Cricetulus griseus: one gene and its partners. The protein of the gene in region 3 interacts with the protein of the main gene of each other region in a biochemical or structural test. Links are inferred from orthologs where the notes say so. Each region holds a gene or a part of one and is shown on either strand. Other genes may lie near its edges.

The links.
Region 1: the proteins of Ube2d1 (region 3) and E3 ubiquitin-protein ligase ZNRF1 form a complex in vitro, tested with the Homo sapiens proteins (2 studies listed by BioGRID). The link is inferred for Cricetulus griseus from reciprocal best matches to the Homo sapiens genes UBE2D1 and ZNRF1.
Region 2: the proteins of Ube2d1 (region 3) and Rchy1 form a complex in vitro, tested with the Homo sapiens proteins (2 studies listed by BioGRID). The link is inferred for Cricetulus griseus from reciprocal best matches to the Homo sapiens genes UBE2D1 and RCHY1.

Annotation. Positions count from the first base shown.
Region 1 is NC_048596.1:187,949,691-187,954,391, reverse strand, and holds the start of E3 ubiquitin-protein ligase ZNRF1, read right to left. Parts: upstream 3,019-4,701; 5' UTR 2,837-3,018; coding exon of another isoform or gene 2,775-2,836; coding exon 2,351-2,774; intron 1-2,350. Other genes in the region: serine/arginine repetitive matrix protein 1-like, read left to right, coding at 2,773-2,836, 3,019-3,605. UniProt on the Homo sapiens protein: E3 ubiquitin-protein ligase that plays a role in different processes including cell differentiation, receptor recycling or regulation of inflammation. Mediates the ubiquitination of AKT1 and GLUL, thereby playing a role in neuron cells differentiation.
Region 2 is NW_023276807.1:156,684,976-156,689,498, forward strand, and holds the start of Rchy1 (RING finger and CHY zinc finger domain-containing protein 1), read right to left. Parts: upstream 3,019-4,523; 5' UTR 2,666-3,018; coding exon 2,582-2,665; intron 1-2,581. Other genes in the region: Thap6 (THAP domain-containing protein 6), read left to right, coding at 3,587-3,666. UniProt on the Homo sapiens protein: E3 ubiquitin-protein ligase that mediates ubiquitination of target proteins, including p53/TP53, TP73, HDAC1 and CDKN1B. Mediates ubiquitination and degradation of p53/TP53; preferentially acts on tetrameric p53/TP53.
Region 3 is NW_023276806.1:266,581,705-266,585,666, reverse strand, and holds part of Ube2d1 (ubiquitin-conjugating enzyme E2 D1), read right to left. Parts: intron 2,131-3,962; coding exon 2,053-2,130; intron 877-2,052; coding exon 771-876; intron 1-770.

The sequences.
Region 1 (4,701 bases), on a different chromosome or scaffold from region 3:
GGCTGGAACCCCTTGGCATTCTACTTCCAGACATAGCATAAGCCTGAAGCTTTGACTTATTTCACTAATGACAGCTTTCTGTGCTGAGAGGAGTCCCCAAAGCATCTTGAAAACACAAGTAATAAAACTATATCAATTTCCAGACATCTGGTCAATCAAGCACTGAAAGTCCTACCGGTGGAATCTTACCACACAAGAGCAAAAGCTGCTCAGACCTGACTCAAAGGCTCCAAAGTGGAAACGGCTTCTCTTCTTGCAGCCGTGAACAAGAGAGAAAAGGATGCCCCAGAAAATTCCATGGCCTGTTCCAGGAGACAGAACCACTGATGCAAATGAGAACTCACCTCAAGTGAACAGCACAGGAAGAACTAATTACTCTATTTGTACAAAAGAACGAATCCCTCAATCTGCCCGGTACAGCCACCCCAGCAAAAGGCATCTGGGAATTCATGGTGGCAGTTTGAGGTGAACTGCAGGATGCCCTGGGCATTCAATAGGCTCAAAGTCTTGTAAAAGGACAGGATGATCCTATATACTAAAATAAATAAAAACAAATACTAAAAATAAGTAAATAAATGTGTTACCTATAATGTTAATAAGGGCCGGACACACACACTGAAAGGATTAATATCTCCAACTTTTCTTGTCTTCCCATTGTTCAGTGGTGTTCCTAATCTCAGGCCTGAATGGGGGGGGTGGGGGAGACTCTAAGGCTTCATGGCTGAAGTGTGAGATTTCAGAATTCAGTTATAAGTTCATAATTTTATCAGGGGATCTGGCAGTGGAACAAGGATAAGAGAAGTTTCTAGTAAGAGACAGACTTCAGGAATCTTACCCAAAAGGTAACTCCTTTTCTCACTCCTCCATACAAGCCTTTATAAAATGAGCTGTTGGCTACACTAAAAATTCTGTGATTTTAGAGAACGGATTTACACTGTTTTCAGTTTTAATGACAGTTTATTTACAAACGTAATCACAGAAGTCTCACAAACACAGTTGACTCCTTCTGGATTCAACTATCTAGAAGGATTATTAATTCCAAGATGCCTAACGCAGAACAAATGCCTAAAGGGTACCGCAGGCAGACATGCCTTGTATCTGATTTCCAACAGTTTAATTAAAGTCAGAGCGGCTCTAAACTATTCACTATCCTATGGAATTGATCGAAAGAAAGAAAAAAAAAGAGACCCAAAAATCCTACTCGGTTTTGAAATAGCTACAAAAGTAATCCCACAGGTAAACCTTCCATAATGTACCCTAAGGATATGAGAAAGCTTTCTCCTACACAGTGACTAAAATTTCCCAACTCACCCAAAGGAATTTGAATATGTAACTTCTTCACTTCAACTGCTAATTAACAAAGAGTAGTCCCACACCCCTTTTGACCAATTTTCCAGAAGCCTGTCCTGCCTTCTCAGGACAGCCAAGCAGACAGACCTGTTTTCCTCTAGAAGAGCCTGCCAGGCCTTTTTTGCCCTACCAGCCGAGCCTGGGAAATCCCCCTCCAGCCTTTTCCTGGCCTGTCACCAGAAGTGCACAGAATGAATTCATCCAGATTTTTTCAACCTTCCTCTTCCCCAGTCATGTGCCAACTGCTGGGCAATAATACCCCACCTTGCCGGTGCTCTGTTTTAGAAAAAAAAAAAAAAAAAGATGCAGATTCACCGGGAAAGCAAGCACTTAGCATGGAGTAGGAGAAAAAAGATGGAGGGATGTGAGAGTCAATGAGCCAAGTCTACTGAATGCAGCATGAGAGACCAGACTCCTGGTCCTGCAAATCCAAGGAGGGAGGCTTTCCATACAGCAGACCACACCTGTCTAAGGCAGCCTCCTGCTCCATTTTAATCAATTTATACCCAGCTGGGTGGAAAAACCAGCCTCCTCCCTTTCCTAGCAAGGGTAGGAACCCTAGTCCAAGAACCACCTGCCCCCTAGTTTTATTTCTCACTCTTTGTTTAGGAGACACTAGCTCCCTAACCAGACAGGTAGGCACCATGCTACAGAGGCAGAAATGAAGAGTCCAAACTGTAAGCCAGACAAGAAGACCTCTTTTCTGAGGATCATGATGCTAATAAACGGACTTCAATGGGCAGGTTTCACTCTGCCATCCACAAGTGAACACATGTCTGCAGTCCTAAAACGCCCGGCTCCGCAGCCTGGTAGACAGCTTTTTCCCTAGCCAGTAGTTATCCCACTTGATCCTATTCATCCTCTGGCACAGAAGGAATCACAAGGGAAAGGCAGGAGTTAGCTTCATACCCATAGCTTAGCACACTAAGAGGTTTGGGGCGCCCCGGCGCGTCCTCCCTTGCACTCCACCCTTCAAGGCCTCAGACGCCCGCGGACTCACCACTGTGCGAGCTGAACCACCTGGGTGCGATGTGCAGAGGTAGAGCATCCGCCAGCGAGGCTCGGGAGCCCAGGTACAGCATCCCGTCTCTATGGTGACCGCCGCCTGTCTCCTGGTAACCATTGCCGTGAGCATAGGTGGAGTCCGACGTGGACTCTCCGCCGCCCGGCGCCCTCTCTGAGTCGCCGGTCCCGCGGGAGGCGGTGGTGTAGAGGCCAAAGGGCACCCCTCCGGCCGTGCTGGGGTCCATGCCCATGCCCGCCACCGAGCTGACCGAGCGGCTGCGCAGCCCCATAGCCCCGCCGCCTGTCCGGTAGTGCCCAAAGTGGGGCGCTCCTCCCGGCGGGGGCACGGCGCTGTCATCGGTAGAGACCCCCGGGAAGGGGCCCCGAGAGCGGGCCGCCGTGCTCTGCTTGCCCCCCATGCTAGCCCGGGCCCCGGTGGGGCGGGAACCTGGAGGCCGAAACCCTCCCCCACTACTCAGAAGCCGGTGGAGGGCTGGGCAAACATAAAGGGGGGGAGGTTAAAAAAGAGCCCCGAGGGGAGAAAATGAAAAAGAGAGAGAGAAAAAAACCCTCAGAAAATCCGCGAGGCGGAAAAAACAAGCGAGCGGGGACCCCAAACTAAGAATTTCAAACAGTCCAAGCCGAATGCATGTTCTCCTTAAGGTCCGAAGACGCGCGGTCCGGAGCGGGCGCCGCGCGCCACAGGCCGCCCCCGGGCTCGAGAGCCTGAGGAGCCGCAGCGAAGGGAGGGAGGCGCCGGAGGAGGCCGCCCGCCCGCCCGCCCGCAGCAGGAAGCGGCGGAGGCTCGGGGCGCCGCGCGCGTCCCCGGTCTCAGGACTCGACGACCGGGGCCGACGGCCCGGACTTCTCCAGGCCTCGGGAGGGCTCGCGGCGGTGGGGAAGCCAGGCGGAGCTCTGGAAGCCGCGGTCGCGTGGCGTCGCGCTCCGGCTCCAGCCGCCGCCGGCCCCGCCAGCCAGCCGCACCGCCCCGTTCAGTCCCGGGCTGCGCTCGCCGGCGCTCCTCGCCGCCGTGGAGACAATGGAGGGCGGCAGAGCGCACGCGCGGCCCGCGCCCCCCCCCCCCCGCCGGGTTAACCCTTTCGCCGCCCCTGCGGCGCGGCGGAGCGCTGCGGCCCTGGAGGTCCCCACCCACCCGCCGCCTGCGCCCCTGGCGGTCCGGGGACCAGCGAGCTCCAGCCGCCGGGTGTCTGCGACAGAGGCCAGACTTCTTCCGGAACAAGCACGGCTAGAGTCGAATCACTATATTCAAGAAGAGTCCTTGCGTGGGGGAGGGGCGGCGACGGTTCTAGTGGGTGGGAAGGAAACTAGAAAGAAAGAAAACCAACTAATCCGTCTACCTGGGTTTGAGGGTCATTGGGCGAGCTCCCCTCCCGCCACAAACCTGCCCTCACAGCACCCTCTGGTGGATGGTGCTGTGGTTTGCTGGTTCCCATCCAAGGACCCCAACCAACGTCAGGAAGTTTAACATTTTGGGGGGAGTTAGCTTGGACCCAAACATCAGGAGTCTTAACATTTGGGGTTAGCTATTAGGAGGCACATAGGAATCCAGGTTTTGCTGACAGATCGAAACCAACTATTTGGGTCTAAGGAAACAAGTCGATTCTTTAGGCTAGAATGTAATCCCGAAAAATCAATAGGTGGATAAAAAGCATGGAAATAGAACAATGCAGCTAAAAAGTGGTTTTAGAAACTCCTTGTCCAAGGCCGATTCCTGTTGTGTTTACCATGTATTTTGACATAGAGCCACAAGGCAAGGACACCGTGAGTACTCAATAAATATTTGTTGACCAAATTTCACTTTGCAACAGAGAATCACCTTTCCAGTTCAGTCCCAGTCTTTCTCATATATTCATGATCGCTTATTCATTGAACAAATAATTTTTCAAGTGCTGAGGGCTGGATGTGAGCATCACCTAGTCCCTAGACTTACTTCCTCTGTCACTTTGTCAGAGTATGCCAGGTGCTTCCAAAAATGGAGTGTGGAGGAAGGTGGACTTGGAGAGAGATAGGCTAATAGACCTTCTTTTCCAGTGTGGCTAGCCTGGAAGGCCACAAGAAGATGGCTATTTTCAGGCATAGAGTATTTGGGGTGAACAAAAAGCCCTGAACAAAGACGTTGAGAGTTTAATAAGAGAAACTAGTACAAGAAATATTGGGGCTGTGGAGCATGCCTTTTTAATCCCAGCACTCAGGAGGCAGAGGCAGGGGGATCTCTATGAATTCAAGGCCAGCCTGATCTACAGAGCAAGTTCCAGGACAGCTTCCAAAGCTACACAGAGAAATCTTGTTTTGAAAAACCAAGTGTGTGTGTGTGTGTGTGTGTGT
Region 2 (4,523 bases), on a different chromosome or scaffold from region 3:
TGGGAAGAGTGAACCTCAACTGAAGATTTGCCTCCCTCATACTAGCCAGTTCGAACATCTGTGGGGCATTTTCTGGATTCATGACTGATGTATGAAGGCCCAGACCATTTTTAACAGTGGCATCCCTGGGGAGGTGATCCTGTATTATATAAGAAAGGAGGCTGAGCTAGCCATGAAGTGCAAGCCAGTAGTATGCAGCATTCCACAGCTTCAGTTCCTACTTCCAGGTTCCTGTCCTGCCTGAGAACCTGTCTTGGCTTCCCTAATGAATTGTTACAAGTGTAAGCAATAAACCCTGTGCTCCCCAAGTAGTTTCTGGTTGTGGTGGTTATTACAGCAATAAAGGAACACACTACTGCCTTGTCTCCTTTTACAAAGACTCTACAGTTAGACCAGACTTGAGCTAAGGCTGGCTTCACTTTGACTACTCAAGAACAGTAGTCCTAGAGTGTTCCCTTTTCCTGTTGCATTCAAAAAGGCCTCTTTGATCATTTTCCCAGTGTGCAGAAACATACTGTAACACATCTTTCAGCAAAACAGACACAGTTTTGCTCTCCTTTGCAATAAAAATCCAAAAATTCTGTTATTTCTAATATCCATTCCAATAAGCTTTGCCCTGGATCCTTTCATTGACACTTCTCTTGTCAAGATGAACAGTGACCTTCCCCTGCCAAGTCAAAGGTCAAATGTCACTCCTTATCTTACTTGAACAGTTGCACTTGATCAAGTAGATGACTTGTTCCTTCAAACACCTGAGTTGGCCTCTCATATTTAAGGAAGAGGGAGAGGGGAAAGAAGAGCAATGCTTGACACTCAGGGAAAAGCAGCTAAAGTGTTATAAAACACAAATTTGGCTATGCAATTTCTTTGCAGGGGCCAGGGAAGAACAAGATGTTCAGTTCCATATCTCACTCTGAAGCTGTGAAGGTATTTCAGTAGAAAATGTAATCAGAAGAATAGTACTCAACTGCTTACACATTTGATAACTGACAAGTCTGAAAGAATTTCATCCAATGCAATGAAACAACATCTGCCAAACTGTGGCCTACAAAAAGGGTTTGAGTTGTCTTACAGACCAAAGCCTATCATTTAATACTAGCTTTCGAGGTCAGTGACCATCAGGGCTGACTGGTAAAGTGAAATGAAAAAAAGAAAAAAGAAAAAAAAAAGATGATGATGATGACTGATAGTGGTAATTAATATTTACTACCCATTTCTGGGGATGCACCTCATAAATAGTACATGTGCACTCTAGAATGCAGTCATCATATTGCTAATAAAAGAGGGGCTTTCCCCTTTGGCGGTGGAGAAAGTACCTACAGACTCTCAGGTGAGGTCAGTACTCTAGCAATGACTGACAGATCCCCATTTCTTTTCCTTCTTGGCAATGGCACCTCCAGGCTGGCATTCCTTCTGCCTCAGCTTCACAAATAGCTGGAAGTACATGTTTGATAGAACTACAGTCCTTTACCACTAAGACCAGTCATGAAAAAAAACTTCTGCCGGGCGTTGGAGGCGCACGCCTTTAATCCCAGCACTCGGGAGGCAGAGGCAGGCATATCTCTGTGAGTTCGAGGCCAGCCTGGTCTACAGAGCGAGCGCCAGGATAGGCTCCAAAGCTACACAGAGAAACCCTGTCTCGAAAAACCAAAAAAAAAAAAAAAAAAAAAAAAAAGGAAGGAAGGAAGAAAAGAAAAAGAAAAACGGAACTTCTAAAATTACCATTTTATATGCAAGCCATTTAAAAAGCAGCTTGCTCAAAATTGCAGAGCAAATTGCGAGCAGAACTAAGATACAGGGAAAAAGTTACAGGATTCCAACAGTCACGTTTCTTTTCTGTGGGAGGAGACTTCAGATGGCTGGCGCCAGGGCCTCCAGCGTTTTAAGCATAAGTTCTACAGCTTAGTTACACCCCCAGCTCAAGTATCAGGCTTTCTCAACAAAATAATCACATTACTTCCAAAAAAAAAAAAAAATCAAGAAACTCTTAATTGTGTGGGGCCCACCTTTATTAAAACTCTAGAGGACTAGAACGTTTCTCAAGCAGCAAAAATAACATTTACGTACTAGGCACGTCTCCAAAATCCAATCTAATGGCAATTACACTGTCTCTCACACCACACTTCTCTATATTCTCCGTGACAACAAAATGAAGCTGACCGGCTACACCAGCTACTTACTACACGAGCAAAAATCACATTCTGATTTTCCCTTGGCTTATCCTCCTTTCGTTACCATCATACACATCCGACAGTGGTCCTGGACAGGCCTGACACTTGCCTCTTTCTACTGTCAACCGCAAATGACGAATAAACCCACTGGGTAAGGGACGCTGTGCAAGGCCCCGCTCTTTACAAACAACAAGAACTTTGCAAGGTACAAAAGCTGAGAGCTAAGGTAGAGCTCATGCTCGCCTTGCCAAATACGTTCCCTGCAAGGGGCAACCCAATTCCAGGTGCAGAAGGTATCTTAACAAGCAGCTCCGTCTGAAACTTGTGCCCAAGACTAACCGCCTAGGCCTAACCTGCCCCGGCCTAACCCCGGCGGCATCTTCTCAGGAAGTGCCCTTTCAAGTCGTCACCTTGAGGAGACAGCCTCGGTCATAGTGCTCGCAGCCCCGCCGCCCTCGCTCCGGGCTGCGGACGCCATCTTCCGTCGCCGCCATCTCCTCCACCTCCCCTCACAATCCACAGAACCTTCCCCCAGCTTGGAAGCCACGCCTCAGAGACGCACAGCCGGTCTGACACCCCGCCTCCTCGCCGCGGCTGCCACCAGTCAATATGGCAGCTGCTCACGTGACCCGGGGCAGCCAGATTTCCGGTTCCTGATGGAAGGGGAGGAAGCGAAGTGAGACGCTAACTCCGTCGTCGACGTTAGTCGGTGTCTTCGCTGCTGACGGTAATAACTCTGAGGTTGGCTCTTCTTCCCCCTCGCATCGCGGCCAGCCCCGATCTCAGGGCGAAGGGGACCGCTGCGACGCCGGGTGGGTCCTGCTGCAGGCCGCCCTCGGCCACCCGGCGCCGGCGAGGCCAGGCCCCACCCTCGTCCCGGCTCGCGGGGCGGAGCTCGGTGGCGGCGCGCGCAGCACCTCGAGCTGGCGGCTGTCCTCGTTCCTTTGCTATCTCCCGATGCTGGTCACCAGCTGAGACCTGAGGAGAAAAAGTGGAAAAGTAGGCACGCCGTAACATGCCCTAGTGGAACTCACAGATGGGTAGTGAGAAAAAAAAAAAAACACAGCATTCAATGAGATCACAATTTGGAGGGACACTTTAAGGATAATTGTGTGTGGAGTGTCCCTGGGGAAAGGGGGACGCTCCAGCTGGAAGTTATTAGGGTGCCCAGACCTGTGGCAGAGAAAAATCTGATCCCTGGTAAGGACACAAGAGAAATAACCAAGCCTAAAAAGTTGAAATCTCAGACCTCAAGGTGCGTAACTAAATATCCACTCTTAAAAAGTTACCGAGACCTTAGAAAATTTTAGCAGCAGAACTTCAGAGGTTGGGGTCTGGGGAATTGCCTTTGGCTAGCCCTAAAGTTACTAACCCATTTTAATTCTCTTACAGTTTTGTTATGAGTTGATAAAATCATGGTGAAATGTTGCTCGGCCATTGGATGTGCATCTCGCTGTCTGCCAAACTCCAAGTTAAAAGGACTGACATTTCATGTGTAAGATTTTGCTGTGCTCAGGCCAAATACATTGAACTTTTACAGAAATGAACGAGTCTACCTAAGTCTGCAGTTTCAAGCATTAGTTCCCAGGTCCTTTTAAAATAGCTATGTGCAAGTTTTAAGTGCCAAGGAATCAAAGATGAGATTAACAACATCACCAAAAATAAAATACCCACACACACAAGTTGTCAGACTCACCTTTGCTAATGTTACTTGCATTGTAACTATTAAGCTCACCATTGTTTACTTGTATTTATAGTGTAAATGAGGTAAAATTAAAATACACATTAAAATACACATCCCTTCTATTTAGAAACAGGTGGGGCTTAAGTGTTCACTATAAATTACAAGTTCAGACCAAAGTTATTTAGCTGCATTGCAGATAAAGCTCAAGGATTCTGCTTTAGTGTTTTGGCCATTCCTCTGACACCCATAGGAAGGGACCATAGGATTTAATAAATGTGCTAAGGATTTCACAGCTTTTGTGTGAAGAACACTTGTCTTTCTTAGGAAATGATCTAGTTACTGTGCTAGACATGGAAATAAAAAGTTAGTATGTATACACTACCTTATCCAAAAAAAAAAAAATGAACTTGCTTGGAAATTTTAGAAATATTATTATTGACCCCATATCTTCAGAATTCTAGACTCTGCAAGCTTTCATAGATCATCAATAGACCTGCTGTATGTTAGCTGCTATCCCAAGTAATTTATGGATAATGGCAAAAGTGAAAGTACAAGAGGCCTCATTCATTCAGGATAAATTCTGGATGTCACCTCAGAAAGGGAAAGGCCAATGGTATTCTTTAACATCTGTAGATTAGGGGAAAAACCTTTAATTGCAGATCTTACTA
Region 3 (3,962 bases):
CGAAAAGTGTACCAATAGGTGTGTGAGGTCTGAGCTATCTCCTGACATGGACAAGAGTGAAGTTCCCCAACTATCTCCCCAGTCCGGCTGCCAGGAACCATCTGCCCCCATTTCACTATCACAAATGGCCCATGAAGAGGAGGAAGGGGATAGAGGTGTCCACCCCAGGGCTCGGTATGCACCAGGTGCCCAGCGGCCGAGTTTGGTAATTCTGTCACGATCCTGGAATGTGATGAGACCGGAGCAGTTTATGCTCCTAGGCTAGCAATACGAATTATTTTTTAGTCAAAAGCCACAGCACCACTGATAGTCATTGAGTACGTGGCAGCCAGCCATTTCTTTAAGTGAGAAGGACTTAGCAGCTTGTGGCAAATGAGAGCCATTTTGGGACACCATTCCAAGAAGAACTATAGTAATCTGAATAATTATAGACAGAATCTTTCCTTTATTCACTTTATGGTAAATTCACTGCTGAAAAAAAATTTTTTTTTTTTATTTCTGAGTCAGAGTTTCTCTGTGTAATAGTTCTGGATGTCCTTGAACTCCCTTTTTGTTTAGATTTGGCCATTCACTCATTTCTCCCAATCCCAGAGTTTACTAAAAGCCAGAATGACCGAAGAGTTACTAGAGAAAACAAAACAAAAATAGTAAGCACTGAGGGTTGAGGCATCTGTTTTGTTTGTCTGGACTTCGGTTTTTGTTTAAACTCTGGTCCCTAGACATTGTACAGTCCTCTCCATGCCTATTTTAAATCTGATAAATGAAATTACCTTTCGATACAGTCAAAGCTGGTGACCACTGGGACCGCAGGATGTCAAGACAAATACTTCCATTACTGTTTATATTTGGGTGGTAGATTTTTGTCGTGAAAGCAATCTACACATAAAACAGAACAACAACAACAAAAAGGTTGATCGTCACAAGCGATGAACAAGCAGAACCAATCCACTCAAGGGAGAAATGTGCTCAACTTTACACAGCTTTGGAACAGAAACATCTACATGCAGGTCCGCTATTGGGAATTTGAAGGAGACTCAGTTTAACCTCCTTTTCTCCTCCAGGTGCTGGGACGTATCTTGGGTGTAATGAGGATGTCTGCAATCACTGGGGTGACTGGCACTTGGACCAGCTGCTCTGGCTTTCATTACACCTCCAAATACTCTTCTTAACCAGCCTGTGAGTAACACCCAGCAGGCCACCTGGATCTATAAACAGGTCACCGAGTCCGTCAGAGCAGAAGTGAGATGATCACCCGTCCTGTAAAACCCACTGAGCATCTGAATTCCGACAAGAGTCACTGTTGTGTGATGTCATCCATAGGATTTTAAACTCAGTGTTTTAAAAATGCTACAATTATTTCCATAGCAGCAAATATATGTTTGTTTTCCCTCCTTCACACCCCCCCCCCATCACTTGTTTCTTCTTTGGCCTTTAAACCTTGGAGAATGTCTTTTCATTCCCTGCTGCCATTCAGTGTGCTTCATTTGTGGTTCCCATCATGCAGGGACGTAGTGGATGGTCAATGTATGTTCACTGAACACTTCAAGAGAGAAAACAGGGTCCTCTTTGGAAGGATAACACTGTGGACAGGAAAGTCTGTCCACAGACTATAGATTCTCAGACTATAAAAACATTCCAGACTACACATATCTCATAAGGAGGAAAAGCCCATGAGCCTAACTTGTAGCCACTGCAACCTTTTGTTTAACAGGCAAAGGAAACTACTTGACTAAGAAAGAGTATTTTAGCCAGGCAGTGGTGGTGCATTCCTTTAATCCCAGCACTCAGGAGGCAGAGGCAGGAGGAGCTCTGTGAGTTCAAGGCCAGCCTGGCCTACAGATCGAACTCCAGAATAGGCTCCAAATTCCAAAGCTACACAGAGGAGCTCTGTCTCGGAAAACAAACAAACAAACAAACAAAAAACAAGAGTATTTTAGATCTGGAAGTTGTACAAAGGACCTTGTACTAGCTAACCTGTGATATCATGAGCCTGTCTCTAGACAAACAGTGAGAACCCCTGCTATGGGATGCATCAGCCACAGAAATAAATACCTTTGGTGGTTTAAAGGGATAGTCTGTCGGGAAGTGGACAGTGAGGAAGAAGACTCCGCCTTGATACGCACTGTCAGGCTGCAATGAACAACAGGCGCATCAGTGTCCGGCCACAACATGTACACAAGACTGAATGTTCCCCCCCAGGTGTTGACAGTGTGAAAGAGAGGGTCACATCTTCTATACGATGCTGTCTGATGCTTGTAAAAAATGTAATCCTTGCACCAGATGTTTGAGTAATTTACCTGAGAGCAGGCTCCTTTCCAGGAATGAAGTTTTCCGAGGTGCCCACAGAGTTTAAAGAGAAGCAGACATGCATATAACAGTATGGTTTTAACCAAACAGGTCATTTACGGGGACCAGTGTAGACACAAGGACTGCTGTGAGGAAAGGTAACTTTCTAGAGCAGTCACCAGTATTTTTTAAAGGTTATGACTAATATTTACCTTGTTTCTTTTAGATTTCCAATGTCCACTTAAATATGGCCAAAGGGAATAATTTAGTAAGAAGGTTACACACAATTTATTCTCAATATTCAATTGCTAGTACTTTATATTGTACAATGTAAAACTCTAAAACCAAGTTGGATGAATTCAGGATTCATGGTAGATTGGATTAAGTATTATCAACTTTACCAAAGGAATTCAAGTTTGGTCACCTCCTGAGTGGCCACACACACACACACACACACACACACACACACACACACACACGATTAAAGGAAAGAAAATAGTAGCAAAATAAAATACCCCAAATTCCATTTTAATTCCTTCATATTTACTGGGCTGCACCATGGGTAATAAAAGCAACTCTTGTCATTCTTTCCCTGCTTAAAGTTCTGCATAAAAATCAGAGCACTGTATTAAATAATTATTCTTACTGTGTTGCTTAATTCTAGTTTGGTAAATGTTTTAAAAAGTAAACAAACAACAAAGATAAGCATGGTAGTAAATGTAAAAAAAATAGAAACAAATTATAAAGATAAGCGTGGGCAACGCGGACAGCAAGTGCTATTATAGAGGGTGGTGGAATGTGTTTGTGGTCCAGAAATAAGAGAGGTGTGCAAAACAACGTCACAATTGCTTACTACACATGATTCACCTGAGAATTACCATGGAGGCCCCAGCTCCAACGGTGAGGCATGCCTTTAGATGACAGGACTTGGAAGGTTCAGAGCAGATAAGCAGATAATGAACACCAAGCAGAAGGAACTAGCTTCTTAGGGAAAGCTGTTAAGTAAATATATTGCATTTTCCCCTCTCACATAACAACTTAATAGAATAATTTAGTCATTTAGGATAATTCCTCAGAGACTTTTCTTTGAAATTCAGCATTTTTTTTTTTTTTTTCAGCTTGGATCCGAGGGCAAATGATTGAAAACTGCATGACTCAGTAGATAAACGGCCCCAGGGGAAGTATGTATGGCATTCAGGAAGGCTAGCGTGTTCTCATCCAGAAAGGAGACTGGAGTAGATAGAGTATCTGCCTACTCGTTCACAATTAGCATTTCGTCCATAGAAAGAAAAGCCTGTTTCAAACCATCGATGCTCCTCAGGTGTAGGAAGAAATACAGACAACAAAGAGGGGCCAGTTTAAGGCAGCTCAGAAAACTCAAAAGGTGACAAAGACCACCCACAACGGGACTCCTTCACTTCTGCAGTCAAGAGTCACAACGAGACCCATTGCAAGCTGATGTTGGCCCAGTGTAGCAACTCCATTCCCCGGTCAGACTTACTTCAAACCTATGAAAGCTGTGGATTTGTGAGGAAGACTCCACTTCCTTTAAAAACAGTTGATGCTGTATTAAAAAAAAATTAATAAGACCAACACATCTGTTTGCACAGAGAGTGTGACATTGCTCTGTAATGGGGATGTATCAGCACAGGAAAATATCGCTGTGACCCAGCAGG